Linked DNA regions of Cricetulus griseus. Each later gene encodes a partner of the first gene's protein in a complex. Links are inferred from orthologs where the notes say so. Each region holds a gene or a part of one and is shown on either strand. Other genes may lie near its edges. The genes, in order: guanine nucleotide-binding protein G(s) subunit alpha isoforms XLas-like, Fzd6, Fzd7, Hrh2, Vipr1, Gpr6 and olfactory receptor 51E2.

Region 1 (4,098 bases):
CTAAATGGGTCACGATCCCACGTATCCCACCCAGTCTCCATTCCCCCTTCCTGAGAAGGCAGAAGCCCGTGCTAGGTGGGGGTCTTCCGGTAAGCCCCGCGCCCCCTCCCCTATCTGCGCCGCCGGCGCCGCAGCGGTAACCGCGTAGGGGTCTTTGCTCGATTTTGCCGCAGTGTACCGCCGAGACCCTTATTTCTACTGCGTCACCATCCACATAAACAAGCCGAAGCCTGATGCGTCACGCTAGGCTATTGCTGAGAGCCCCCCCACCGGAAGTGTAATGGGGAAGGGGCATATTGAAGGGGGATTTACCGAAGCTATCCTTGACAAACAGCAAACAAAAACATTTAAAAAAAAATAATAAAATTACCCCGGAGCATTTAAAAAACAAACTGCGTGTTCATATTTGACAACTCATCGCCCTTCATCCCCTCTCCGCCTTTCCGGTGGGCTCACGACCACCTGTCGCATTTTTATGATCGCTCCTCTACCCCTTCCCGGGCATCCTAAAGGCTCATTTCCCCAACTCAGAGCTGAGAACGGGTAATTGCCCGAGGCTGGGGTCCTCGGATAAGGTGTTTGCCGCAGACTGGGGTAATCTGGGGTGACAAAGTCCTCCTGCAGTCCCTCCTCCCCTCGGGAAGAATCTGATGGGGCGGGAGGGTTTCAGCGCCTGTACTCTGTCAGACCAATGCCCACGTCTTACGTCACGTGGCCCAGCAACGCAGGAGAGCGCGCTCTCTCTCTCTGGCCAGGGGAAAAGCGAGGAGCTCAGACTCAGAAGCAGTCTGGGAGAGGAGAGGAAGGAGGCGAACCTCCCTGCGAGGCCTGCGCTCATCAGCCCCCATACCCAAAGTCGGGAACTGCCGGCACCGGGAGCCAGCTCCCGGAGCCGGCTTAGCACTGAGACCGGCGTCCTCTGGCGGCAGAGAAAGAGTTTTACTAACGATTTTCGAGACGAATCGGCACGCTCTTAGATGCCAAGAAGGCGGGGCCAAAGTTAGCAAAGTAAGAAGAGAGTCCAGAAAAGTCGTGGGAGTGGCTGGCCGACCGCAACTTGAAGGCAGAAGTGTGGCTCCGGAGGCTCCGGGTCTTCCCAGCAAGAAATGAGGTACTTCAGCCACGATCTTGAGTTTTAGCCTCTCAGAATCTATCCTTACAAAGATTGGAAACTGAGGCTGGAGAACTTTCCAGCCAATACTCGAATATTTTAAAAGAAAAAATTTTTTGACCCTAGTTTGGCTGGGTGCTCCGTCTTACGGGGCCCCAAATTTATTTTAAAAAACCGCAACCGTGTTATGGGCATGCGCAGCCGCGTCCACGGCAACAATATGCCAGGACAACACGATATCCCCGGTGAAGTCGGGGAGCAGCCCGAGCAAGAACCTTTGGAGGCCCCAGGGGCAGTTGCCCCCGGTGCTGGGCTTGGCCCAGCCGAAGAAATGGAGGCCGAACCGTCTGCCAATGAGCCCATCCCCGCCGAGAACGGCGCTGAGGGCTATGGACCCCAGGGGGTCTCCGGAACCGACTTTCAGGGCGTCCACCAGGCGGTCGAGGAAGTCGGAGTGGGTGGAGACTATAGCCCCCCACCAGAGGAATCCATGCCATTTGAGACGAAACAGCCCAGCCCCGGAGGTTTCTGGCCCACCCTGGAGCAGCCTGGAAGATCTGGGGCCCAAGCAGGTCTCAAAACCTTCAATCCAGCGCTTTTGGAGCCCGGGACCCCCAGTGGTGCGAGCCCCGCCCAGGGAACCTACAGCCCCCCACCAGAAGAAGCTATGCCATTTGAGTTCAACGAGCCTGCCCAGGAAGCCCATAGCCAGTCGCCCTTGCCAGTCCCAGACCTTGCGCCAGGAGGTCCGGAGGCAGAGGTCCTCAGAGCACTTCCCGCGGAGCCCGGGAACATCAGATTTGCAATCGCTAGCTTGCGAGATGACTACAGCCCTCCACCTGAAGAGTCTGTGCCGTTTGGGCCCGATGGAGAAGAATTTGGGGGCGATAGCCCACCCCCGGGCCTCCCCCGAGTCACCCGACAAGTCGGCTTTGGCGGCGAGTTCCCGACAGCCGCGGTCCCGAGTGCGCTCAGTCTCGCTCCCGCCGAGAACGCGCCTCCCCTCTGGGTCCACAGCGCCATTGACAGACCGTTCAGCGAGGCTATCAGAGCTCCCGCTAACTTCGCCTGCGACAGTCCCCCAATGGAGATCTCCAGACCCCCGCTGGAGATTGGCAGAGCCTCCTCTAGGGTCGGCGACGACACAACTGTCAATATGGACGGCCCCCCAATCGCAAGTGTTGGCCCGCCCATCGAAGTCTCCGGAGCACAAGATAAGAGCGAGCGCGGCGCAGAGAGACCCCCAGTTGAGCGAGAAGCAGCCGACATGGAAGGAAGCCCAACCACCGCTGCTGCGGTGGAAGGAAAAGTCCCTTCTCCGGAGAGAAGAGACGGATCCTTCACCCAGCCAGAAGCCATGGATGACAAGCCAGCCTCAGCTGCCCAGACCGTCGCTACCGAACAAGATGCCGCCTCCGCGGCTGCCAGCGGCGGCTCTCCTCCAGCCCCAGCAACACCCGCGGATCTCCAAACCGATCCCGAAGAAGTCGGAGCCACCCCAGCTGTCCGCGCGGAGCCTGACGGAGGAGCAGCCCCGGTCATCGCAGCAGCAGCCACCCCTGCCGAGTCTGAAGGTGGAGGAGATCCAGCCGCCGCGGAGGAGCCAGCCTCCGAGGCAGTCCCTGCCGCCAAGGCCGAGCCTGCCTCCGGGGCAGCCCCCGTCACCCAGGTGGAGCCCGCAGCGGCGGAAGTCTCTGCTAAGGCAGAGCCTGCCGCCCGGGCAGCCCCTGTCACCCCTCCGGAGCCCGCTCCCCGGCCAATCCCCACTGCCAGAGCCCATCCGGCTGCCGGGGCAGTCCCTGGCGCCCCAGCGATGCCAGCCTCCGCTCGGGCAACTGCCGCTAGGGCAGCCTATGCAGGTCCTCTGGTCTGGGGAGCCAGGTCACTCTCGGCTACTCCTGCCGCCCGGGCATGCCTCCCGGCCCGTGCAGCTGCCGCCGCCCGGGCAGCCTCTGCTGCCCGGGCAGTCGCTGCGGGCCACCCAATCTCTGTCGCCCGGTCAATGTCTGCCTCCCGGGCATACCCTCCCGCCCCGAGCAGGGCCCATCTTAGACCCCCCAGCCCCGAGATCCAGGTTGCTGACCCGCCTACTCCGCGGCCTGCTCCGAGGCCGAGCGCCTGGCCAGACAAGTATGAACGTGGCCGAAGCTGCTGCAGGTACGAGGAGGTATCATCCGTCATCTGCGAGATTGACTCCTCCAGCGATGAGTCGGAAGAAGGGGCCAACGGCTGCTTCCAGTACCTTCTGCGACGAAACCGCCGCCCCGGCCAGACCCGGAGCCACACGGTCGGATGCAACCCAATCCGCAACTTCTTCACCAGAACCTTTGGAAGCTGCTTCGGAGCCCCCGAGAGAGCCCGTTCCCTCAGCCCCGGGAAGGCCAAGGATCCTTTTGAAGAGAGGCGCAAACAGATGCGCAAAGAGGCCATTGAGATGCGAGAGCAGAAACGCGCAGATAAGAAACGCAGCAAGGCCATCGACAAGCAACTGGAGGAGGAGAAGATGGATTACATGTGCACACACCGCCTGCTGCTTCTAGGTAATGCGGCATCTTCTGCCCCTGGGCAGTAGGGCCGCCCTGGGCACCCGGGGAGGAGGTGGTAGGGCCTTCCGGTGGGGCTTGGGCCTTGACCACGGGAGGAGGGGGTCTGGAAACCCTGATAGAAGTTCCACGGAGGGACCCCAACTCTGCCCTGGGGGTGGGAGAGGGGATTTTTTGAGGGTTCGGGTGGCCGAAGTATATACCCTCCAGGGAGAAAAGTGGTGCCGAGCGACACTGAGGGTCGTTACCGGCCGGAGGCCAGCGCCAGCGCCAGCGATCGTAGGCTGGACAGGCGGGGGCGTGAGGTGAGCCCAGAACTGCTGGGGAGGGCCCTTCGGGGCTCCCCCGGCTTAATTGTTCGTGACCGCGGTGGGCTAGGGCCATCGGGGTGCGCGCCCCCGCCTCGCCTGGCACGGCTGCTTCGACTCAGACAGCTTGTTGTTG
Region 2 (2,646 bases), on another chromosome or scaffold:
TCTAGCTGGCATCATTTCCTTGAATCACGTTAGACAAGTTATACAACACGACGGCCGAAACCAAGAGAAACTAAAGAAGTTCATGATTCGAATTGGAGTCTTCAGTGGCCTGTATCTTGTGCCCTTGGTGACACTTCTAGGTTGCTACGTCTATGAGCTAGTGAACAGGGTCACCTGGGAGATAACTTGGTTCTCCGATCATTGTCGCCAGTACCGCATCCCGTGTCCTTTTCAGGTAGGAGCGACCGTTTGGATTATGACACTGTTTACTCGTGGTCAGAAAATCAGACTTCAGTTCGAGAAGTCCTAACAGACATAGGGAGTCATTCCCTGTGCTCCGGTCAGGCTGGGTGACGTGCTAAGAGGTCATTCCTCAATCCGTAGCTCTAGTTACAGTTATAATACCGCAAGTCTCCCTGGGGCGTTGGTGGTGCACGCCTTTAGTCCCAGCACCTGGGAGGCAGAGGGATGCTGATCTCTGGTCTATAGAGTGAGTGACAGGACAGACTCCAAAGCTACATAGAGAAACCCTGTCTCGAAACCTCCCCCCCAAAAAACAAAAATAATGATTGTAGTTATAATAATAATAATTAATAATAATAATAATAATAATAATAATAATACAGCAAGTCTCCTGTAGCTATTTTAAGCATTAAACTGAAAGCAACAATTAAATTGGGTTAAAAAATCAGATTAACAATTATGAAGAATAGGCCTCGTCAGAGGTATAAAAGGAAAAGTAAATTCTACTAAATTAGAAAGGTTTTTATTTTTTTTCTTTCAGCTCCTCTATTAGTAGGAAAACCCTATGTTTGGGTTTAACCTTTTGTGCAGTGTATGCTTCTAAAAATAGAAATTGGTTTTTGCCCAGCCCATCCTGTCATTCTTAACTGAGAAGAACACACAATTGAAAATGTGTCTCTGACGCTTATGAGTATTATAAGGTGCTTTTTAAAGTGGAAAATTGTAAATTCCTGAAAACATGTAATTTCTTAAAGCATCTCAGTTGAATTTTTGAAGAAAATTTGGGGTTTCCAGAACATAAATCTTAAGAGTATGCAGAGTGCTTGTATACTTGGGTGGTTGAGGTAGAAGAATTGTTGAGTTTGAAGTCAGGCTGGGCAATGTAGTGAGATTCTGTCTCAAATAAATTGAGTAATTCAAGGAAACTAGGATTTATCTGGCTGGGGGTGTCGCTTGGTGATGGAGAACTTCCCCAGCCCTCGAACCCTGGACCTGATGGCTTCTCCATTCCTCTTCGAGCCTCTGCCTTTCTCCCTCTGTCCCATCCATCCCTCCCTGTTTTCCTCCTGTTTTTTAGCTCCTCCTGGAGAATCACTTTAAATAATACAGGGATAGGCAGCGCAGCATTATTTGCAGTTGGAACTAGGTGGGAAGCAACGTAAACACGTTTAAATAGGGGCTAGTTGAGGAAAGCAGAGTCCACAAACGAACATGCCTTTAAAAGCAAAGCTCTGTATGTGCCCTGGGCATATTAATTAGCACAAAAAACAAGATACAATGCTATCCGTGTAATACTTTTGTACTCGGACACTCACAACAGCATTTGAAAATGGATGCTCTAAACAAAATTTTATGAAATTTCTACATTTTCACATCTTAATAATATTGGTTTTGTGGTAGCCAGACAAATTTTAACAACATGTGCATTGATGCAGAAGGACTAGAAAATGTGTTTTTTAATTTTTGTTTTTATGTATGAGTGTGTGCCTGCATGCATGTATATGCACCCATGTATGCTTTGTGCCACCAGGGACAGTAGGGAGCACTGGGACGGTTATAGGTGGTTGTGACCCAGCATGTGGGTGGTGGGAGCTGAACTTGGGTCCTCTGCAGGAGTTGTCAGTGCTCCCAACTGCTGGCCTTCTCTCCAGCCCCTAAATATATTTTAACGTAGATCATAGTGAAGGAAAATAGGTAAATACTTAGACAGATACCTTAGTAATTACAAGAGGCCACTTTACCAGTAGGGGAGGAAGCAGTCAAGAAGTCACACCAAGATTCTGAAAACCGTTAGTACTTTTTTCTGTTGAGAGCCACATTTTGACACACATAAAAGTTCCTTGTTCAGAACGTCATAAAACTGTGCTGGACTTAAACCGTTGTTCCTCTGTGTTATTTACTTCAAACAGACTGAAGGTTTATAATTTGCACCAACTTTGACATTGCAGATTTTTCTTTATATTTTAAGTATGTTGTTTTTTATTTTGTTTTTGTAGGCAAACCCAGGAGCTCGACCAGACCTGGCTTTATTTATGATAAAATATCTGATGACATTAATCGTTGGCATCTCTGCAGTCTTCTGGGTTGGAAGCAAAAAGACCTGCACAGAATGGGCCGGCTTCTTCAAACGAAACCGCAAGCGAGAGTAAGTGTGGACTGATGTCTTAAGATTGTTTAAGAGTAAACAGACAAAAATACCCATGAGTTTACCTAAAGTGCTAGCAATTCAAACCATGGAATGCTCTGTAATATCAGCACATACTTAGGAGTAAATAGTTTGTCTTGGTTCTTTATATATATTGTATCTGATGTGCTGTATGTAGATTTTTTGGTTTTTCATTTCCCACTGATTTGGCTATCAGCCTCCTTGTGGTGCAGACTTCATAGCTGTGGCTGGACAAT
Region 3 (4,125 bases), on another chromosome or scaffold:
GCCTTTTGACTTTTCACTCAGGCCCTCTCTCAAAACCACCTCTAACCCCAAATCTCTTCTCACCTCCAATTAACTTCTCACTTCCATGTTAAAGCTCAGTGGAGGAGGGGGTAGCCTACAGAAACAAGTCCCCACCCAGCAGTTCTTTCCCTACCATGCCTCTCCTCCTACAAGGAGGGAGAAGTGGCAAGGTTGGGAGAAGGACCGGGGCTCATACCGCAGTCTCCCCCTTGCTGCTGTGGCTGAGTCTGTGGTAGAAACGACGCCATGACTGCAGGGTCTTGCCAGACCAGATCCAGAAGCCGGTAGTGATGCCCACGATCATGGTCATCAGGTACTTGATCATGAAGACTGTGAAGTCGGGGCTCATGGGCGGGAAGTGACCCGGAGGGCAGGGCACAGCGTAGCTCTTGCAGGTCTGTAGGAGCCAGGTGCGCTCCCAGTGCTCGCGGAAGGCCTGCTCGTAAAAGTAGCAGGCCAGCACGATGGTGGCCGGCACCGTGTAGAGCACGCTGAAGACGCCGATGCGCACCATGAGCTTCTCCAGTTTCTCGGTCTTGGTGCCGTCGTGCTTCATGATGGTGCGAATGCGGAAGAGAGACACAAAGCCGGCCAGGAGGAAGGACGTACCGATGAAGAGGTAGACGAAGAGGGGCGCAAGCACGAAGCCCCGCAGCGCATCCACACTAGACAGGCCCACGTAGCACACTCCACTGAGAAGGTCCCCGTCCACCTGGCCCATGGCCAAGATGGTGATTGTCTTGACTGCCGGCACAGCCCATGCGGCCAGATGAAAGTACTGCGAGTTAGCCTCGATGGCCTCGTGGCCCCACTTCATGCCAGCTGCCAGGAACCAAGTGAGGGACAGAATGACCCACCAGATGGAGCTGGCCATGCCGAAGAAGTAAAGCACCATGAAGAGGATGGTGCAGCCCTCCTTCTTGGTGCCCTGCGCCACCGTGCGGTAGCCATCGTCCGAGAAGCGCTCCACGCACACGGCACGGTCCTCCAGCAGGAAGCCCGCCACGTGCGCCACGGCCACCATGAAGTAGCAGCCCGAGAGGAAGATGATGGGTCGCTCTGGGTAGCTGAAGCGCCGCATGTCCACTAGGTAGGTGAGCACCGTGAAGAGCGTCGAGGCGCAGCACAGCACCGACCACACACCCACCCAGAGGCGGGCGAAACGCCTCTCCTCCTCTTTAAAGTACATAAGGCCGTTAGCACGGCCGGGCTCACACGGGGCACCGCAATCGCGCTCACCTAGGAAGCGGTAGCCCAGGTAGGGGGGCACTTTGAGCTGGCGCGGGCACGAGAAGGGGAAAGACCACCGGCCTCTGCCATCTGAGGGGGGCATGGCAGTGAAAGGCGGGTCTGGCAGGTAGGGAGCAGTAGGGTAGGCGGTGGGACTGCCGCCCGCGCCCCCGGAGCCGTCAGACGTGTTCTGGCCCACGCAGATCTCGCCGGCGCCGTGCACCGGGAAGTTCTCGCAACGCAGCCGCTCAGGCCACTGGAAGCCGAACTTGTTCATGAGAGCCTCGCAGCCTTGGCGGGCGCGCTCGCACAGGGAGCGGCACGGAGGAATGGCTTGGTCGAGCACCGTGCATACGGGCGCGTACATGGAGCATAAAAAGAAGCGCAGCTCGGGAGAACACTGCACCTTCACCAGCGGGTAGAACTGGTGCACCTCGAGGCCGGCGTCCTCTTGGTTCGTGTGGCCCAGCAGGTTGGGCAAGATGGTCTGGTTGTAGGCGATATCCGTGCACAACGGGATGGAGATGGGCTGGCAGAAGCCGTGGTCCGGTACCGAGATGCCCTTCTCGCCGTGGTACGGCTGAGCCCGGGTGCCCGCAGGCAGCGCGCCCAGAAGCGCCAGCAGCAGGGCGCACAGGCCCAGGGGCGAGTGCGACGCCGCAGTGCCGGGGCCCCGCATCGCGGGCCGCGAGTGCAGTGGCGTTCTCAGCTGGGGGAAAAAGACGAGGCGCTGGGGAGCGGCTTGGATGCAGGGAGGCGCCGCCGCGCCCGGCGCATGAGAGTCCTCCCGGCGCCGGGGCCGGGCCGTGGGCGGCGCGGAGCCGAGGGCGCTAGGTGCCTGCACGGCGGGGGCGAGGCCGCCAGTCGAGGGGGCGCCGCAGCCGCCTCCGCGTGGCACTCACGCGGCCGCCGGGGGCTCAAACTCCTGGGCCTGGGCTGGGGGATCGGGGGTGGGGTGTCGCCTTACCCTCCCCGCCGAGACGTAACGGTGCGGCTTTCTCTTGGGCGACGGGCTCCAAGCGTCTCCGGTTACCTTTCAAAGTTTGCCCAAGTCTCTCGAGCCCCGGGCGCACGGCGATGCCCACGTCCCCACACCGGGTAGGGCCTCCGCCAGACCAGAGCCCCGCGTCCCCGCCTGCTCGCCCCGGCCGCCGCCTCGGCGGTGCAGCTCCGCCTTCTCGCCTCGAGGCCCCGCGGGCCGCCGCCTCCTCCTCCTCCTCCTCCGAACCTCGAGCCTCCTTCAGCCCGGGGAAGGTCGGCCCCAAGTTTCAGTCAAACGTCTGGTTCTCAATTTGAGTCCGATCGGTCCCCAGGAGCTAAGAGCTGGGCGAGTTCTTTTTGGAAACCCAGTTGCGCGGAATCCCAAGCGCCGAGGCTCCTGCACCCGCGGCCTGTCTGCTCTCGGCCTCTCCTGCCGGCTCAGTCCCGGCCGGCGAGTCCCCGCGTCCGCCGCCGCCCGCCAGGGAAGGAGCGCAGAGTAACGCCTGGGAGCCGCGCTGGTGGCTAGAAGAAGCGTCGGGCTCGCAGGGTTTCGGGCCGCCCCGCCCCCTCCCCTCCCCCCATTCACAAACCACTCCGGGGGCGGGCCCCGAGCCCTCCGGAGGCCCAATAGCGCGCTTTGTTTTCTCTGTAGACGCCTTCCGATTGGGTGGAAGTCGGAAGGGGCGGCCGAGGGAACGAGGAAGGCGGTGCCTGAAGCGCTCTGGGCGGATTCCTGAGGGGAGGGGCGGGGGACTGGGAGAGAAAAGTTAGGAGAAACTTTTACCCAGAATTTGCTCAGGGGAGAAGAACGCACCAGAAAGGGAATTTGTTTGAAAGATTGGTTCCTCTTCCGGATACCCTAAAACACACATTCCTGAGCAGAAGGGCGCATTCGCCAAAGGCTTCGGCGAGACGCTGAGAATAGCGCAGCGCTTGGGCGGAGAGACGTGACCCAGAGTCACGTTAGCCTGGCTGGCTTGGGCGGGAGGCTTTTGGTTAGCATCAGTGTGGGTCGGGAAGGGGCTGCGACTGAAGATCGCTCTTTTCTCCCCATACCCAAACGACCACATGAAACCACAATCCCCTCTCCCTCCCCCCAGTTACAAAGAAGGGGGCCTCCTGGAAGGAGAAACCCGAGTCGGCCGAGGTGGGGACTTGTGGCGGGAGGAAGTGCAGACCCTCGGAGGAGAGGGCCCAGAGCTGGGGGTGCGCGGGACTCAAGAGCCAGCCACCCCGCCCGCGCGCACTGTGGGGAGCGTAGGGAGCCCGAGAGGTTGGGGGTGGGGTTGGAGGACGCTAAGGCAGTGCTGGGGGAATGCTTATGAAAGCAACCTGAGACCGAGTACCCGGGACTCTCCGTACGATTTACTGAGCGCCTTCGGTTGCCCTGTGTGGCCTTCGGGGGTCCCGTTTTCGTTGCAGAAGCAACCATTTGATCTTTGCATTTGGAATCTACATAGAAAAGTTTTAAAGCGCGTTAGAAACCAGGGCATTTGCTAATTAAAGGGCTTTTGAGACACAAAGAGGGGTTATTTTCCTTCTGGGATAGCGTTTTTCTGATTGGCAAGCGTTCTTTTGTCCTCGGTCAAATCTTAACCCTGCTCCAGGCACTGGGCGCTCGTGCGCCTTGTCTGCCTGTCCCGGACCGGTCGGAAGTTACTAAGGGACCTCTGCTCTCTCAGAGGGGCCAGCAAGGAATATCATGAATATTATGAATTCCCGGGCAGGGAAGTGACAAGTTGAATCTCTCTGTCGTCCCTGAAGTCTTACTTTCAAAAAAACGTCATTCCTGGCTGAGTCCTACTTTCTACCTGTCTCAGTTGGTTGCCGGTATATGAGAGATTTTTGATCAGTTTGAATGTTGAATGTTGGCAGGAGTCATTGCCTCCAGGA
Region 4 (2,953 bases), on another chromosome or scaffold:
GCCCCTAGCACCGCCCCCCCCCCCGCCACTATGTCTGTCTTTCCCCAAGCTCTACTCACACACGGCCCACACTTTTGTTTCCACTGAGGTCCCATCTTCTGACCCCTGCCATTTTCCCTCCGTACTAACTTGAACACTCCCCAAGGAAGAGCTGATTTGCACATGGCTTTTGAATGACCCTCTAAGGGTCTAACTGGTCACTCGTAACTCCTAAGTGGCAGAGCTGGGCCTTCTACTTAGGCCACCCGAGTGGAAAGACCATTTAGTTAGAAAGAAGGGCCTCTGAGTTCTGGGGTGAGTAGCACTTTGTCCAGGTCCCAAATCAGAGGCCCTTGATGAGATCTCTCTTACCGTTAATGTGGCCTTTTAAAAACAAGGCAAATGTTCTACCCAAGAGAGCCATTGAGAGATGATTTCTGTAAAATGCGCACAGAATGGTCTCAGTGCCACCCACACAGAGGTGGGGGTGGGAGGAAGTCTCCTCTGACCCACACAGATGTTTACCTGTCTGGGGTTCCCTGGGGGTGTGTGATTTCTGTCCCACTCCTCACTTGGAGCTTCAGGGGCTTCTCCTCCTGCCATCTGCCTTCTTGGCTTTGGTTCCTGGACAGCAGAGAATTGTTCAGCCTCAGGGATGGTTTTTGGGAGTTGTGGCTGGCAAGCCTGCAGTGGAAGAGCTGTTGGTAAGCCATGCGGAAGTCTCTGTTGAGGGCAGCGTACAGGATTGGGTTCAGGGCTGAATTGGCGTAGCCTAGCCATAGAACAATGCCTTCAACCACCTCGTTGATGGCATCGTCCCCTCTCAGTCCACGATAGACAAATGTGGTGAAGTAGGGAAACCAGCAGATGACGAAAGCTCCCATGACTGCAGCCAGCGTCACGGTGGCTTTGTGCTCTCGAATGGTGGCTGCCTTCCAGGAGCTGATGTGGTTGATCCTTTTGGCCTGCTCCCTGGCGATCTTAAAGATTCTGTAGTAGGTGACACACATGATGAGAAGAGGCAGGTAGAAGGTGACCAGCCCGTCCACCAGCCCGTAGACCTCATTGACCTGAACTTTGCACTTGAAGGTATCATTGTCTCTTCTGGTCTCATTTCTGCTGTTCCATCCCAGGTGAATAGACAGGAAAGATAGGGTGATGGAAATGACCCAAATAAAGACCAAAGAAATGGCAACGCGAACTGGGGTGACCAGCACAGGGTACCTCAATGGGTCCGTGACAGCGCAGTAGCGGTCCAAGCTGATCATGAAGAGGTTAAGGATGGAGGCTGTGCAGAGCATCACATCCAGGCTGGTGTAGATGTTGCAGAAAACCTGGCCAAAGCTCCACTTGAAAGAGAGCTGGTAAATGGCAGAGAAGGGCAGCACCAGGAGGCCAAGAAGCAGGTCGGTCGCCGCCAAAGACACAATGAAGCAATTGGTCAGACTGCGGAGCCGACGGTTCAAGCTGACAGCCAGGCAGACGACCACGTTGCCAGCGACGGTGATGAGGATGAGGGTGGTGAGGATCAAACTGATGGTGACTTTCAGTACAGTAGAGTCTAAGCAACAAGAATGAATCGTGCCATTGGGCTCCATTCTGGGGCCCTGTAGCTTCTATACTCAACCTTGGCCTTGGCCACTTCTCTTCCAGCTCCAACCACTGGGCTTCAAGTTCCCAACCAAGCCAAAGAGGGGTGTTGGGGAGGGTCTAATAACTGGCCTAATGCTGTTGTAGTACTAATCAAGCTGTTGCTTGTGAAGTGCAGGACATAAATAAGAATAAAGTAAGACTAGGGCCTTCGCGGTTCAAACCGCAGTCCTCAGCTGGTCTTCCAAGTCACATTCCTTCCAGGTCTGTAGTATGCATCTACCTTCTAGATTTCTCATGGAGGCTGAGGCACTGGTGGCTGTGTCTTGAGGTGGTTTTGGTTTGTGCAAGGGATCATACACATAGGCTGTCATGTCCTTCTCCATGGCTAGTGCCTGCTTCCATCCATGGCATAAGGTCAGGACTATTAGCTGCCCTCTCTGGGGTCACAGCAGCTGAAGAGGCAAAGATTGAGTGTTTAGCACATCATAATTAGACCAACAGCATGGCCTGTTCCAAGGTAAGTCTTTCTTACTTCCAACACCTGGTGAGAAACTAGGAGGCATGGGGACTCTTCCAGGTACCCTTCCTTAGGGAAGACCAAGATGGTCAGAGCACATGATGGGACAGCAAAGGGTACCATGATGTAAAGGCTAGAATACCATGAGGAAGAAATAAATGGAAGGGTGGGTCTAGGAGAGGACTGCTTTCATCTGCTCCCAGCTGCTTGCTGGTGCCTGACCCCACCTGGAGGCATTTGTTATCTGTTGATTAATGATACATTGAATGAGTGGATAAAGAAATGCATAAAATTTACTCTTATTACACGTGGGGAGCACTCTAAACTGGGGACTGGAAGATTTTCAGAGAAAGAACCAGGCAGCCTGTATTCCTTTCTTTGTAGCCTGTGGGGTGTCTGCTGAATTGACAACTCAGCCACTGTAGCATAAAAGAAGCCACACAGGACCATGCGCAAAAGAGTGCGTGGGCTGTGTTCCAGTCAAGCTTTGTGATGGACAAGGAACTGTAATGAGAAATCCTCGTGTATCTGTTTAAGGGATATCAAGGACTTACTAAGATATAAAAGGGGAAAATACATTCACAAATACAGGATATGGTAAATCCAGTCCCAGAGTCCTTGGGAAGCAGGGGACCGATCACACACTGCTTCACATTACCTGGCCCAGTCTTCACCACCCAAGAGAGTGAGCGACCCCCTCCCTCCTTCCTTATAAGAGGTCAAGTAGGCAGACAAGACCTCCTTCAGGCCAGATATCCCAAGGTCATGGGCAGAGTGAATACCCACTACACTTCCCCTTCTTGTCTAAACAAGAAGGTTCTAAACCTAATACAAAAATATATACATTAAGAACAACAATCAAGT
Region 5 (4,296 bases), on another chromosome or scaffold:
GTGTCCAGTTAGCCCAATCTCTATAAGGAAGTAGAAACGGCAGGGAGCGCCCCCGGTATCCATTTACCTCCATGCCCTGATGTGTGTAGGAGGCCTGGCTGAGAATCCGAGACTAATAAAGTTCGGGGCAGAGAGAGCAAGGAAGGTGCGGTGCACTGATGTAGGGGATGAGGTGGGGGGGGGGTAGAAAGCTCCACCCAGCCAACAGAAATGGAGGAAGGCCAGGGGTCGCTTCCAGACTTTTCTGTAACCGTCCTCAAGGCCACGCCCACAGCCCTAGTTTCCCACGTTGCAGGTTGGGAAGGCCAGAGAGTCCTCGGGGAGATTCCCGCGCCCCTGCTGGCCAGAAAGCGCCTGGAGACGGACCTCCTCCAGAGGATCGCACACTGCACTGGCGCGCAGGGACACGAGGCTCTCTCCGTGTCTGCACCGCACCCGGGCCCTCCTCCCTCCTTCTGTCCCGTCGCGCCGTCAGCCCCCCACATCACCTTCTCACTGGGACCGCCCGAGCTCTCGGAAAGACGGGGCAGGCATCTGCCCTGGTTCCCTAATAAGTGGCGCGCAGAGAGCTCTGAGCGGGTGACTCCGCGCCCCACGCCAGCGCACAGTAAACCGAGTCCCAAAGACAAGCGTAGGAGGCAGCGCAGTCCCGGCTGGCCGGCCGGCGCGATCTTGGAGCCGCAGCGCGGGGCACCGCTCCCTGCTCCTGGTTCCTGGGGACCTCAGACTCTGGGAGGAAGGGTCTGCGGGCAGCCCGGGCCCGCGAACAGGTACAGCTTCGGTCCCCGCGCCGTGGCGCTGGCGCGTTGACTCCGCGTCCCTCGCAAGCTGCGCGGGCCGAGACGCGTCCATCTCTGAGTGCGCCCTGCGAAGGCCCTAGAGCGGCCTGGAGGAACCCCGGGTCAGGGCTCCCGGCTCCGGCTGCGCTCCCCTCGGCTTCTCCCCGGCCACAGACGGCTCCGGCAGCGCGATCCGCGGGACCCCGTTGGAACCCAGTCTGGAGCCCCGGAAAGCGGCGGACCCTTCTGGTCCAGCAATCTGGGCTGCGCGCGGCGTGGGAACCAAGGAGGCGGCCGCTCCTCTCCACCCACCCGGTCCCCGTCCCCCTGGAGCGGACGGCCGGAGGGGCGCGCTGCCGGGGACCGAGGGCCGGGGGCGCGGCCTGGGCGGGGAGAGCAGGTGCGGGCGCGGGAACGCCGAGCGGTGCGGAGCCGCTAGGACGACGCCAGCTGAGGCTCCCGACGACGCACACCGCTAGCGGACTCCGCGCTCACGCCCCCGGGCGCCCAGGCTCCGCCCCCTACCTGCGCCGAGGCCCCGCCTCCGCCGCGCCATTGGGCGACCCCGCTGCCCGTCAGACGAGCCCCCGCCGCCCTCTCCAGGCCGGAGCTGCGCCTCTCAGCGCGGGGGCCGCCGGCCCGCGCCTCTCTGCCGAGCTGCAGCAGCCGCAGACCCCGCAACCGCGGCGGCCGCCTGCGGCGGGCTCAGGGCGGACCATGCGCCCTTCGAGCGCACCGCCTGCCCGCTGGCTCTGCCTGCTGGCAGGAGCCCTCGCCTGCGCCCTGGGACCCGCGGTGAGTGTGCGCCCCTCCACCCGGATCCCCGGAATGAGGGAGCTGCGGGGGCGGAGGATCTGGGGCCATCTGGCCATCGGGGGGCAGCAGGAGCGCGGTTCTCATCTTCTCTCTCCACCCGGGACCGAGTCTAGCCCAGAGGCGTGGGAGCTCGATGGCACCGGGTCCCTCCCAGCACAGCCTAGAGGGCTCACCTCGGGGCGATCTCAGGCAGCGGTGGAGAGGTTGAGGGCGAGAGGGAGCCCCAGCCTGGCGTTGCGAGGAGTATCTGTGGGGGTGCGTGGGGAGGAGAGCTGGGGGTGGCAGGACCTGGTGAGATGGGAGATCCGGTAGACTGTGAGGTGGAAAGGAGGCTGTGAGGGTCTGCAAGCGTCTCTGGGCATTATGTGAACTTGTGGGATATGAAGACCTCCGCTAGCAGCAGATGCAGCGTTCATGCCTGTGGCCTGGGAAGGGGTCGTTGGTATCTTATGGGTGACAGGACTGTCCCCTGTGCTCTGCCTCCTCTAACTATAGGATGGTGGGCAGAGAAAGGTCAGAGTTGGTGGCAGGGACTGGCATGTGCTGGGGAAAGCAGGGGCCCTTGCTCTGCCTCCGACCTCTTCTTCCTCGCACACCGGTATGTGTGTGGGTGTGATCCTGTGGCTGTGGATGGATCGCCAGGCCTGTGGGGCAGATGCGGCTGGGTGGCCTTCTCTGAGAGTAAGGAGGATCTCAAGACTAGGTCTGCCCATTTTACAGAAGGGCAAATGAGGCCACAGGAGCCACACCTGTCCTCGCCAGCCGTACTTGGGTAGAGGTGATCGTCTTCCTCCCTTTGCTCCTGGCCTGTGGGTCTGCTGCTTCAAGACAGTCTTTTCCCAGGTGTTTTCTGGTGGAAACAGCAGGCTGTCTGGAGGAGGGCGGGGAATCTTGGTCACCTAGTGGGTTCTCTCCACGGTTACCTCCCCTTATCATCGCCTGCGCCAGAGCAGGAATTGGGAGGTGAATCTGTGTCCACCTAGCTGGTGTCTGGCACACCCTCACCTGGGAGGGCTCATCCTCTGGTGAAGGTGCAGCCCTCTGAGAACTGCCCCCTCCTCTAGTTCAGAGTCCCACCTCCTCACACTCCACACTCCGTCTAACTCTGTCTCTTCACGTCACAGTCTTCAGGCCACATAGCAGCAACTCTCCAGCTCTCCCAACTCCGGGTCCCAGCTACTCAGGTTCATTTTGGGGTCTTTGCACAACTGGAGGTCTCCAGGTGCCCTCCATCTGGACATAGCTTGAGCCCAGCCCCTCCAATCCCTTCTTCTTGTCTTCCCGGGTCTTATTCATTCAGCACCACTTCTGGTTTCCTCTTCCTGACTGCTTCAGATCTCCCACTCTGACCCCATCCTTCCGTTCCACTACCCGTCCCGTCTGAGCTGCTCTGCCCCTCATGTGGAGTCAGACTTACTGTCTGCTTGGTCCAGTTCAGGGCCCGGCCCACAAAAGAAGGGGAAGGGACTCCGCCTGGCCTGGAGGAGGGTCCCTGTTCTTGCCTTGCCATCCTTACTTGCTCCCTCCTGGAACGGACACCCAGTGTTCCTGCTCCAGCCGGACTTGGGGGGGACATGTTATCAGAGCCATAAAATGGCAGCTGCAGAGTTCACATTGAAGGCACAGAGCCTTATCGCTCTGTTTATGGGGCCCTGCCTTGGCCTGGGAAGGGAAATCTTTGAACAGGGAAGCCAAAAAAAAAAAAAAAAAAAAAAAAAAAAAAAAGGAAAGGAAAAAGAAAAGAAACCCTCTGGTGCCCGGTGTCCCAGAGAAGGAAGTAAAGTATGTCCCAAGGTCTCCCGTAGCTCCTGTCCCCCAGGGCAGCAGACAGATGCACAGTGCCAAGCTGGTGGGGACACTCAGACTAGAGACAGTCTGAGGTCCTTAAGAGTTTCCGCTGCAGGAGCACAGCACAGCCAGTGACTTCGAATGGATGTGGGGCACAGCCTCTAAGAACTGAGGGACGGGGCTGCTGTGACAGCAGACAGACAGACAGACAGACAGACAGACAGACAGACAGACCCCCTTGGAAGAAAAATGAAGTTTGGCTACATTGGCCAACCCTCAACTGTAAACTGTGAAAACAGCCTTTGCTAGCCTGGCCCCAGAAGGTGGAGAGAAGCCCAGTCCCTGGGTCCCCTTAGAACCTGGATGGCTGGGATGAAGGGCAAGGCTGGCTCCTCTGAGTATCCCCAGACAGGTGGAAGTCCTGCTTCTGAGGGTCACACCTCACTGGAGGAGTCCTTCCTGGCCACTACTATGAACCTTTCCAGGGTCCTCTCACTACTGCCCAGGCCTCTGGCCTCAGCAGACCTCACTGAACTTTAGGAAATATGGTGGCTACTGGGCCAGGCTACTTTCTGGACTAGAGACAACCTTAGTTATTCCTGTTCAGGACTCCCAGGGCCTCCCTGAAAGACAGAAGCCTCTAGAGGTTTATGCCTCCCCCTCCTAGACTCTGGAGGCCTAGCCTCCTCTGAGGCTTCTGCAGCTTGCATTGGGGTCACAGCTTAGGACTGGAGCCTTAAACCCTGTCCTACCCCACAGCCATGCCTAGTTGGCTTGGAAAACATCTCTAACCTCTATAGAAGAACCTGTTTTCCCCATTTCTGACTGGATGAGAGAACCCTGGGCCCAGTGTGAAGGAGAATTGGGAGGGCAGAGCTAGCCCCACTTTCTACTCTGAACCCTAGGTCCCACA
Region 6 (3,490 bases), on another chromosome or scaffold:
GCAGCAGCAAAGAAGGGCGGAGATCGAGGAGAAACCTGCAGAGCAGGACTCAGAAAGACAATGGGAGAGAGGACTGCTCAGGTAAACTCCTCCTGGAGAAGAAGCCAGCTTGTCCCAGCTGTCCTTCTTATTTCCTTTTCCCTGCTCTCCTGGGCTCCTCCTCATTTCTTCCCTGGCTCTACTCAAGCGATGCAAACGCTGTGAACACTTAAAAGAGAACTACTTTACCCGAGTTCTCTCTCTCTCTCTCTCTCTCTCTCTCTCTCTCTCTCTCTCTCTCTCTCTCTGTCTCTGTCTCTCTCTCTCCAGATGCCCCTGTCCCAACCTCTCCTCCATGGCTGCTTCACCTACCCCTGGGTGATCCTTGGCTCTGACCTTTGCTTTGTGGCTTATTGTCACTCATCCCTCGCCTTCCTTTTCCTGCTCACTCTCTGTGCCTGGCCTCAGGTCTTGTTCCTTTCTCCCTCTCCTCTCATCCCCATCCCATTCCTGGAGGTTTCTGGATTGGTGGAGGCTCTGGCTTCTCCTCTCTTCTGGAGCTCTCTGAGATGTCTCTGTGAGGGGTGGGGGACGTCAAGAAGGATTGGCCTGGCGGGTGTGGCGAGTAATCCGCTGGAACCAGAACCCAGAGCCTGACGTCACCGGGCCCCGCCTGTCAATCTCGGGCGGGCGCGCTGCTCGCAGCCTCCTTCTCTGCCACTGCCTCTCTGTCACTCGCGGTGGTGGTTCAACGACAGGAGACCAGCGCCTTCCTCCTGGACGCCGGGGCCGCCTCCTGCAGGCAGCTGTTTGGCCCATGCAGAGAGCATAGCCGGGCACACAGCCACGGAGCGCATGACCAGAGACTTCCCGGAGCCCTGACTCCCCAGGTGAGTGGCAGGCTCCCAGGGGTATTTTGAGCGTGTGGGGAAGGCGACTTGGTAAGAGACAGTCCTGGAGTAAGTCTGTCCAGGAGTCAGAGAATCGGAGCGAGGTTTAACCACCGTACCTAACACACTCCCCCTTAGTCCTTTTGTTCCCAATTCCTGACCCGAGGTCTCTGGCTCCTTGCTCTGCATGTTGAGACCTGAAACTTCGCTTTCAGCACCTCGGACAGCGTCTTTGCCCAGCTAAGACCATTTCCAAGAGGACTGACTTATTTGAAAGCTTGTGCAAGCCCATATATATATTTACCAGATTGTCCATGCGAGTGCACAGTGTAATCTGTATGTGTATCTGTGCCAAAGCTCAGAAGCCCCGTGTATATCATTCATTCATTCATTCATTCAACAGGTGCTTACTTATTTGGGGTTCGCCTGTTATCCCCAGTTCCCCACTATGTTCCATGCGCCCGAGCTGGGATATGCAATTTGAGTGAGGCATTTTGAACAGGGCACCTGCGTGAGAAAGTTCCTTGGTAGCCTGGAGAGTGCACCTGACAATCTGCGGTCCCTTTTTGTGCAGGGAGCAACATCTGGCGGCGATGAACGCGAGCGCCGCCTCGCTCAACGAGTCCCAGGTGGTGGCAGTGGCCGCTGAGGGAGCGGCAGCTGCGGCCACAGCAGCAGGGGCACCGGACACCAGCGAATGGGGACCCCCAGCAGCATCCGCGGCGCTGGGAGGCGGCGGCGGACCTAATGGGTCACTGGAGCTGTCATCGCAGCTGCCAGCAGGGCCGTCGGGACTACTGCTTTCGGCAGTGAATCCCTGGGATGTGTTGCTGTGTGTGTCGGGGACCGTGATCGCAGGCGAAAATGCGCTTGTGGTGGCGCTCATTGCGTCCACTCCCGCGCTGCGCACACCCATGTTTGTGCTCGTGGGTAGTCTGGCCACTGCCGACCTGCTGGCGGGCTGTGGCCTCATCCTACACTTCGTGTTCCAATACGTGGTGCCCTCGGAAACTGTGAGCCTGCTCATGGTGGGCTTCTTGGTGGCCTCCTTCGCCGCCTCAGTCAGCAGCCTGCTTGCTATCACAGTGGACCGTTACCTGTCCCTTTACAACGCGCTCACCTACTATTCGCGCCGGACCCTGTTGGGCGTGCACCTCTTGCTGGCAGCCACCTGGACAGTGTCCCTCGCATTGGGGTTGCTGCCCGTGCTAGGCTGGAACTGCTTGGCTGACCGCTCATCCTGCAGCGTGGTGCGCCCCCTGACACGCAGCCACGTGGCGCTGCTCTCCACTTCCTTCTTTGTGGTCTTCGGCATCATGCTGCACCTGTACGTGCGCATCTGCCAGGTGGTCTGGCGCCACGCCCACCAGATCGCCTTGCAGCAGCACTGCCTAGCGCCGCCCCACCTAGCGGCCACCAGAAAGGGAGTGGGAACTCTGGCCGTGGTGCTAGGCACCTTTGGGGCCAGCTGGCTGCCCTTTGCCATCTATTGTGTGGTGGGTAGTCAAGAGGACCCGGCCATCTACACCTATGTCACCCTGCTGCCTGCCACCTATAACTCCATGATCAATCCCATCATCTATGCCTTCCGCAACCAGGAGATCCAGCGTGCCTTGTGGCTCCTGTTCTGTGGCTGTTTCCAATCCAAAGTGCCATTCCGCTCCAGGTCCCCCAGTGAGGTCTGAAGGGCTTCTCTGTGTCCCCTCACCAACACCACAAACCCAACATGCCAGCCTTTGGTGAGCTTCTAGGTGCCTGCTGATGAACTCTCGAGATCTCAATGGTGTGACTCTGACTCTACAGGAGACAAGGGACTGACAATGAGGCTTGTTGGCACTTTACATATACAGTGTATACACATGTACATATATATACAAGTATTTGTATCTTCTGGAGGTGTTCAGGACCTGGAGCTTCCTGTTCTATGAAAAACCAACAAACAAGATGTGGTTGTGTACTCAGTTGTACATCACAAATGTACATCACATTTGTCAAGTGAAGACATTCCAATACTGCTTAATAATAGCACTTTATTTTTAGCTGCTGAAATGCCAAAACAGTGTTGCCATTCCACGAGCAGGAGAATGGGAGTCAAAGGTGTATTTTTGTTGTATGTGATAGAATATTTTGCTGCACATGCATCAATAAACTACAACATATTTTGTACACAAATAAACACATTATAAAAATATAATCTGGGGTATGGCTGGATTATGAATATGGAAGCTGAATTATGAGTCTGTTTATTTTTAAAGTATATTACATAGCATCTCCTTAGAGAAAACCTCATACAAAGAAATCATATATATTTACATATGTGTCCTTACATTTTCCCTGAAATACCATCTCCAGATCATGAGGTGGGGTAAGGTCATGGAGGAAGTACCATTCATAGACAGTATTCACAGAACACAGAAAGGCTGTATGCTACTGGTACAAGTTATTGTGCTCCCTTGGTGATGTGTGCTCCCTTGGAGTTAGAAAGACATATTTCAGAGGACAAAGCAATTCAAGCCACATAGGTGCAGCTATAAATCCTGAAGCCACAACTTCCCAACATAACTTTATAAATATGATTTATTCACATTGTTGTTAATTGGATCTAGTAGCAAGGAGTAAGG
Region 7 (2,824 bases), on another chromosome or scaffold:
GAAAGGCTGAAAAACACTTGTCATTCAGCCTGGACCATCTTAAGCATACATGATACATTCATAAGCATTACTATTTAGAGTTTGGATATGTTCCTGGGTAGTGAATAATAAACTTGAAGTGAAGGAAACAAATCTTGGCTACCATTTTAGAAGTTATGCATAACAGCTGAACAATAGCTTCACGACAAAGAGAGTATGAATAAAACAAAGTCATTGATAATTTGAACCTATTCCATCCAAATGACAAACCTGGCCAGTTAGTTTAAATCACAATTCCTATTTTCTTTTTCATCACTGTGTCTCATTTTATAGCAGAGTCTTTAAGCAACACAATATTCATTGATATATATTATTTCACATTATATCCACGATGAAGATAAACCATACTTTAGTTCACTATCCCATCCAGGGAAAAGCACTAATGTGCTTATGGGAATTAAACAGGTCTGATCAATTACTATATTAAGCTCTCTAGAACAAGGGTGATGGAATGGTAAGGGTCACGTGTTTCCTCCAGCTTCAATGTCCTTGTCACAGCTGATCTTGAGCATAGCCAGCACCCGTGTTCTGATCTGCTTTGTCTTAGCACCATAGATGATGGGATTGATCACCGGGGGCAGCAGAAGGTAGACATCCCCCATGAGAACATGCACAATAGGGTCTAGGCTGTTTCCAAAACGGTGTACCACTGATAAGCCAATGAGTGGTACATAGAAAGCCAGAACCACACCAATGTGTGACACACAGGTTCCAAATGCCTTAGCTCGCTCTGACTTGGAAGGCAGTTGCAGAACTGTTCGTATAATCAGAAAATAGGACAAGGAGATGAACATGACATCTACACCCATGACGAGCAGAATGGCAGTTAGGCCATAGACTACATTGGGCAATGTGTCTGTATAGGCCAACTTCATCACATCCTGATGGACACAATAGGAATGGGAGAGCACATTGGAGTGACAGAAGGCCAGCCGCTTGATCAGTAGTGGGAGTGGGAAAAAGAATAGGGATCCCCGGACCAGAGCCACCATGCCGATTTGGGCTGTCACTGTATTGTTGAGCACAGCAGCATGACGCAGTGGGTGGCAGATGGCCACATAACGGTCAAAGGCCATGGCCAGCAGGATGGTAGATTCAACTGCCGAGAGAGCATGAATGAAGAACATCTGGGCAAGACAGGCATCAAAAGTAATCTCCCGGGAATCAAACCAAAAGAGGGCGAGGATCTTGGGCATGGTGGATGTGGACAAAGCCAGATCAATAGCTGCCAGCATGCAGAGAAAGAGGTACATGGGTGCATGCAAGCTTCGCTCTGTCCTTACGATGAACACGACGATGCAGTTTCCAAACAATGCCACAGCATACATGGAAAGCAGTGGGAAGCCAAACCAAAATTGAGCTTCTTCCAGTCCTGGGATACCAATAAGCACGAAGGTGGCATGTGTGAAATTGCAGGAGCTCATCGCTGACACCAAGTGAGTAGTACTGGAGAGGGTGAGGTCACACTGACAGCCTGCAAGGACATGGAGCAGAATGAGAGAGTCCCCTGGAGCTTGATTCTCCAGAGAGTCCCCTGGAGCCCTCCCTCCCTTCTCACTCTGCCTCCATCTACACCTCAGCTCTTTCATAAGCTACATGGCTTTCTTTTCCAAAGGAAGAAATGTAAATGCTGAAAACTAGTTTATTATTCACCATTACTAAGGGACACTTAAAATTTCAAAATAAAGCTTTGGTGGAAAAATACTTATCCCCGAAGTGTGACTTCCTCGAAACCTCTTTTTGTCTCTACCTGGACTGTCTGGATACTAGGCACTCTACATTTTGTAAAATTACCATATTAACTAACTTTTCAGATAGAGATATCACCTTCCCTTGCTCTCCCCATCCCTTCCCTGTTATTCTCATCTTCGTTTTATCCTTCTTTATTTCTGCTTTCCTTCCTTCACCATTTTTCTTTCTCCTCCCTCTCTCTCTCTTTATATTTATTAATTCAAATTTCAGAAGTAATTGCTTGAATGACCTGTTAAGCACAATGCTGTTTTTGAGACACAGATCTGGGAATCATTCCTTTGGGCCTCCACAAGGCTTGCTTAGGACAGGAGATGGATAAGTAACAGATACATTAGAGCATTGTGGTAAAGCTAGCAGAAGAGATTCATTGATTTCAGGGGATGACAAAGACAGAGGAGCTTTCCTAGACATGATGTTCATTTCATTTCAGTCTTGGAGCATGAGCAGAATTAGGTAGATGGAAGAGACAATAAAGGATTTTCCAAGGCAGGAGGAATAGAAAATGCTTTTCAAAAAAAGAGAAAGAAAAGAAAAGAAAAAGGAAACTTATCTGGACTCAGAGAACCAAACGTACCAGCTCCTTGGAACTCTCTCTTTGCAAATGAAGATGCCGGCAGGATCCATTACCTCCAGTAGCTGGCCAGCAGCTAACTGGTTGCTTGGAAGTCACCACCAAGGGTGTTTTCAAAGCCCTGATTTGGGGAGCAGTATTACTGATTTTTTTATGATGGTATTCTGAGGATTTCCCTTGGGATCTGTGCCAGTCAGTCATTCATGTCAAGGGAGGGGTTTCTTCTCTCGGTTTTCCGGAGCCCAGTGTTGCTTTGTTTCAATCTCATTCCCATCTTATCATCTGAGTACTCACATAAAACTCTTTCTCTGCCAGACTCCCTAATGTCCTGTTTTTAGAGCTGGTTAACTTCAGCAGTTACTGGCTTGGGTATGAGAATCAGGGGCTTTGATGCTAAGAAGCAGATGATGCAGGTGTCCTTGTTGACAGTATCCAGGGTACCCTGATTAATTTGTTTATCTC

What was found.
Region 2: the proteins of guanine nucleotide-binding protein G(s) subunit alpha isoforms XLas-like (region 1) and Fzd6 are in contact, whole or in part, in a cryo-EM structure (PDB 8JHB), measured with the Homo sapiens proteins. The link is inferred for Cricetulus griseus from reciprocal best matches to the Homo sapiens genes GNAS and FZD6. Residues at the interface, in NP_000507.1 of Homo sapiens: Gln384, Leu388, Gln390, Tyr391, Glu392, Leu393, Leu394; in NP_001158087.1 of Homo sapiens: Arg226, Ala310, Lys314, Ser316, Cys317, Val396, Gln407, Lys409, Leu410, Phe413.
Region 3: the proteins of guanine nucleotide-binding protein G(s) subunit alpha isoforms XLas-like (region 1) and Fzd7 are in contact, whole or in part, in a cryo-EM structure (PDB 9EW2), measured with the Homo sapiens proteins. The link is inferred for Cricetulus griseus from reciprocal best matches to the Homo sapiens genes GNAS and FZD7. Residues at the interface, in NP_000507.1 of Homo sapiens: Asp381, Gln384, Arg385, His387, Leu388, Gln390, Tyr391, Glu392, Leu393, Leu394; in NP_003498.1 of Homo sapiens: Pro285, Ala364, Lys368, Trp369, Gly370, His371, Ile374, Ile450, Ile453, Met454, Asp457, Thr459, Lys463, Leu464, Leu467, Lys552.
Region 4: the proteins of guanine nucleotide-binding protein G(s) subunit alpha isoforms XLas-like (region 1) and Hrh2 are in contact, whole or in part, in a cryo-EM structure (PDB 9IXJ), measured with the Homo sapiens proteins. The link is inferred for Cricetulus griseus from reciprocal best matches to the Homo sapiens genes GNAS and HRH2. Residues at the interface, in NP_000507.1 of Homo sapiens: Gln35, Arg38, Ala39, His41, Asp215, Lys216, Val217, Asp343, Leu346, Arg347, Thr350, Tyr358, Phe376, Arg380, Asp381, Ile383, Gln384, Arg385, His387, Leu388, Arg389, Gln390, Tyr391, Glu392, Leu393, Leu394; in XP_006714928.1 of Homo sapiens: Arg116, Ala119, Val120, Met121, Pro123, Leu124, Arg125, Tyr126, Pro127, Val128, Ile205, Val208, Ala209, Gln212, Ala213, Arg215, Ile216, Ile219, Ser220, Trp222, Lys223, Lys231, Ala232, Thr235, Leu236, Leu291, Asn292, Arg293, Asp294, Arg296.
Region 5: the proteins of guanine nucleotide-binding protein G(s) subunit alpha isoforms XLas-like (region 1) and Vipr1 are in contact, whole or in part, in a cryo-EM structure (PDB 8E3Z), measured with the Homo sapiens proteins. The link is inferred for Cricetulus griseus from reciprocal best matches to the Homo sapiens genes GNAS and VIPR1. Residues at the interface, in NP_000507.1 of Homo sapiens: Gln35, His41, Val217, Phe219, Asp323, Arg342, Asp343, Leu346, Tyr358, Pro361, Phe376, Cys379, Arg380, Asp381, Ile383, Gln384, Arg385, His387, Leu388, Gln390, Tyr391, Glu392, Leu393, Leu394; in NP_004615.2 of Homo sapiens: Arg174, His178, Tyr239, Leu240, Leu243, Leu244, Ala245, Val246, Ser247, Phe248, Arg252, Leu319, Lys322, Leu323, Pro326, Asp327, Ile328, Arg329, Lys330, Ser342, Leu345, Leu346, Leu391, Asn392, Gly393.
Region 6: the proteins of guanine nucleotide-binding protein G(s) subunit alpha isoforms XLas-like (region 1) and Gpr6 are in contact, whole or in part, in a cryo-EM structure (PDB 8TYW), measured with the Homo sapiens proteins. The link is inferred for Cricetulus griseus from reciprocal best matches to the Homo sapiens genes GNAS and GPR6. Residues at the interface, in NP_000507.1 of Homo sapiens: Gln35, Arg38, His41, Val217, Phe219, Asp323, Asp343, Leu346, Ser349, Thr350, Arg356, Tyr358, Cys359, Phe376, Arg380, Asp381, Ile383, Gln384, Arg385, His387, Leu388, Gln390, Tyr391, Glu392, Leu393, Leu394; in NP_005275.1 of Homo sapiens: Met107, Asp165, Arg166, Ser169, Leu170, Ala173, Leu174, Thr175, Tyr176, Tyr177, Leu182, Ile248, Val252, Arg254, His255, Ala256, Gln258, Ile259, Leu261, Gln262, Gln263, His264, Lys276, Gly277, Thr280, Leu281, Arg332, Asn333, Gln334, Glu335.
Region 7: the proteins of guanine nucleotide-binding protein G(s) subunit alpha isoforms XLas-like (region 1) and olfactory receptor 51E2 are in contact, whole or in part, in a cryo-EM structure (PDB 8F76), measured with the Homo sapiens proteins. The link is inferred for Cricetulus griseus from reciprocal best matches to the Homo sapiens genes GNAS and OR51E2. Residues at the interface, in NP_000507.1 of Homo sapiens: Gln31, Gln35, Arg38, His41, Asp215, Val217, Phe219, Tyr358, Phe376, Cys379, Arg380, Ile383, Gln384, Arg385, His387, Leu388, Arg389, Gln390, Tyr391, Glu392, Leu393, Leu394; in NP_110401.1 of Homo sapiens: Met58, Tyr59, Asp120, Arg121, Ala124, Ile125, Cys126, His127, Pro128, Leu129, Arg130, His131, Ala132, Leu135, Asn136, Asn137, Ile220, Thr223, Val224, Leu227, Pro228, Ser229, Glu232, Lys235, Ala236, Thr239, Cys240, Lys294, Thr295, Lys296.

Annotation. Positions count from the first base shown.
Region 1 is NC_048599.1:4,771,606-4,775,703, reverse strand, and holds the start of guanine nucleotide-binding protein G(s) subunit alpha isoforms XLas-like, read left to right. Parts: upstream 1-1,298; coding exon 1,299-3,651; intron 3,652-3,864; coding exon 3,865-4,098. UniProt on the Homo sapiens protein: Guanine nucleotide-binding proteins (G proteins) function as transducers in numerous signaling pathways controlled by G protein-coupled receptors (GPCRs).
Region 2 is NC_048603.1:12,938,597-12,941,242, reverse strand, and holds part of Fzd6 (frizzled-6), read left to right. Parts: coding exon 1-235; intron 236-2,240; coding exon 2,241-2,389; intron 2,390-2,646. UniProt on the Homo sapiens protein: Receptor for Wnt proteins.
Region 3 is NC_048595.1:413,755,485-413,759,609, reverse strand, and holds the start of Fzd7 (frizzled-7), read right to left. Parts: upstream 2,801-4,125; 5' UTR 1,931-2,800; coding exon 212-1,930; 3' UTR 1-211. UniProt on the Homo sapiens protein: Receptor for Wnt proteins.
Region 4 is NC_048596.1:273,264,966-273,267,918, reverse strand, and holds Hrh2 (histamine H2 receptor), read right to left. Parts: upstream 1,578-2,953; coding exon 501-1,577; downstream 1-500. UniProt on the Homo sapiens protein: The H2 subclass of histamine receptors mediates gastric acid secretion. Also appears to regulate gastrointestinal motility and intestinal secretion. Possible role in regulating cell growth and differentiation.
Region 5 is NC_048597.1:228,643,537-228,647,832, forward strand, and holds the start of Vipr1 (vasoactive intestinal polypeptide receptor 1), read left to right. Parts: upstream 1-1,496; coding exon 1,497-1,574; intron 1,575-4,296. UniProt on the Homo sapiens protein: G protein-coupled receptor activated by the neuropeptides vasoactive intestinal peptide (VIP) and pituitary adenylate cyclase-activating polypeptide (ADCYAP1/PACAP).
Region 6 is NC_048595.1:263,550,278-263,553,767, reverse strand, and holds Gpr6 (G-protein coupled receptor 6), read left to right. Parts: upstream 1-1,462; coding exon 1,463-2,554; 3' UTR 2,555-2,990; downstream 2,991-3,490. UniProt on the Homo sapiens protein: Orphan receptor with constitutive G(s) signaling activity that activate cyclic AMP. Promotes neurite outgrowth and blocks myelin inhibition in neurons.
Region 7 is NC_048596.1:96,622,213-96,625,036, reverse strand, and holds olfactory receptor 51E2, read right to left. Parts: upstream 1,464-2,824; coding exon 501-1,463; downstream 1-500. UniProt on the Homo sapiens protein: Olfactory receptor. Activated by the odorant, beta-ionone, a synthetic terpenoid. The activity of this receptor is probably mediated by G-proteins leading to the elevation of intracellular Ca(2+), cAMP and activation of the protein kinases PKA and MAPK3/MAPK1.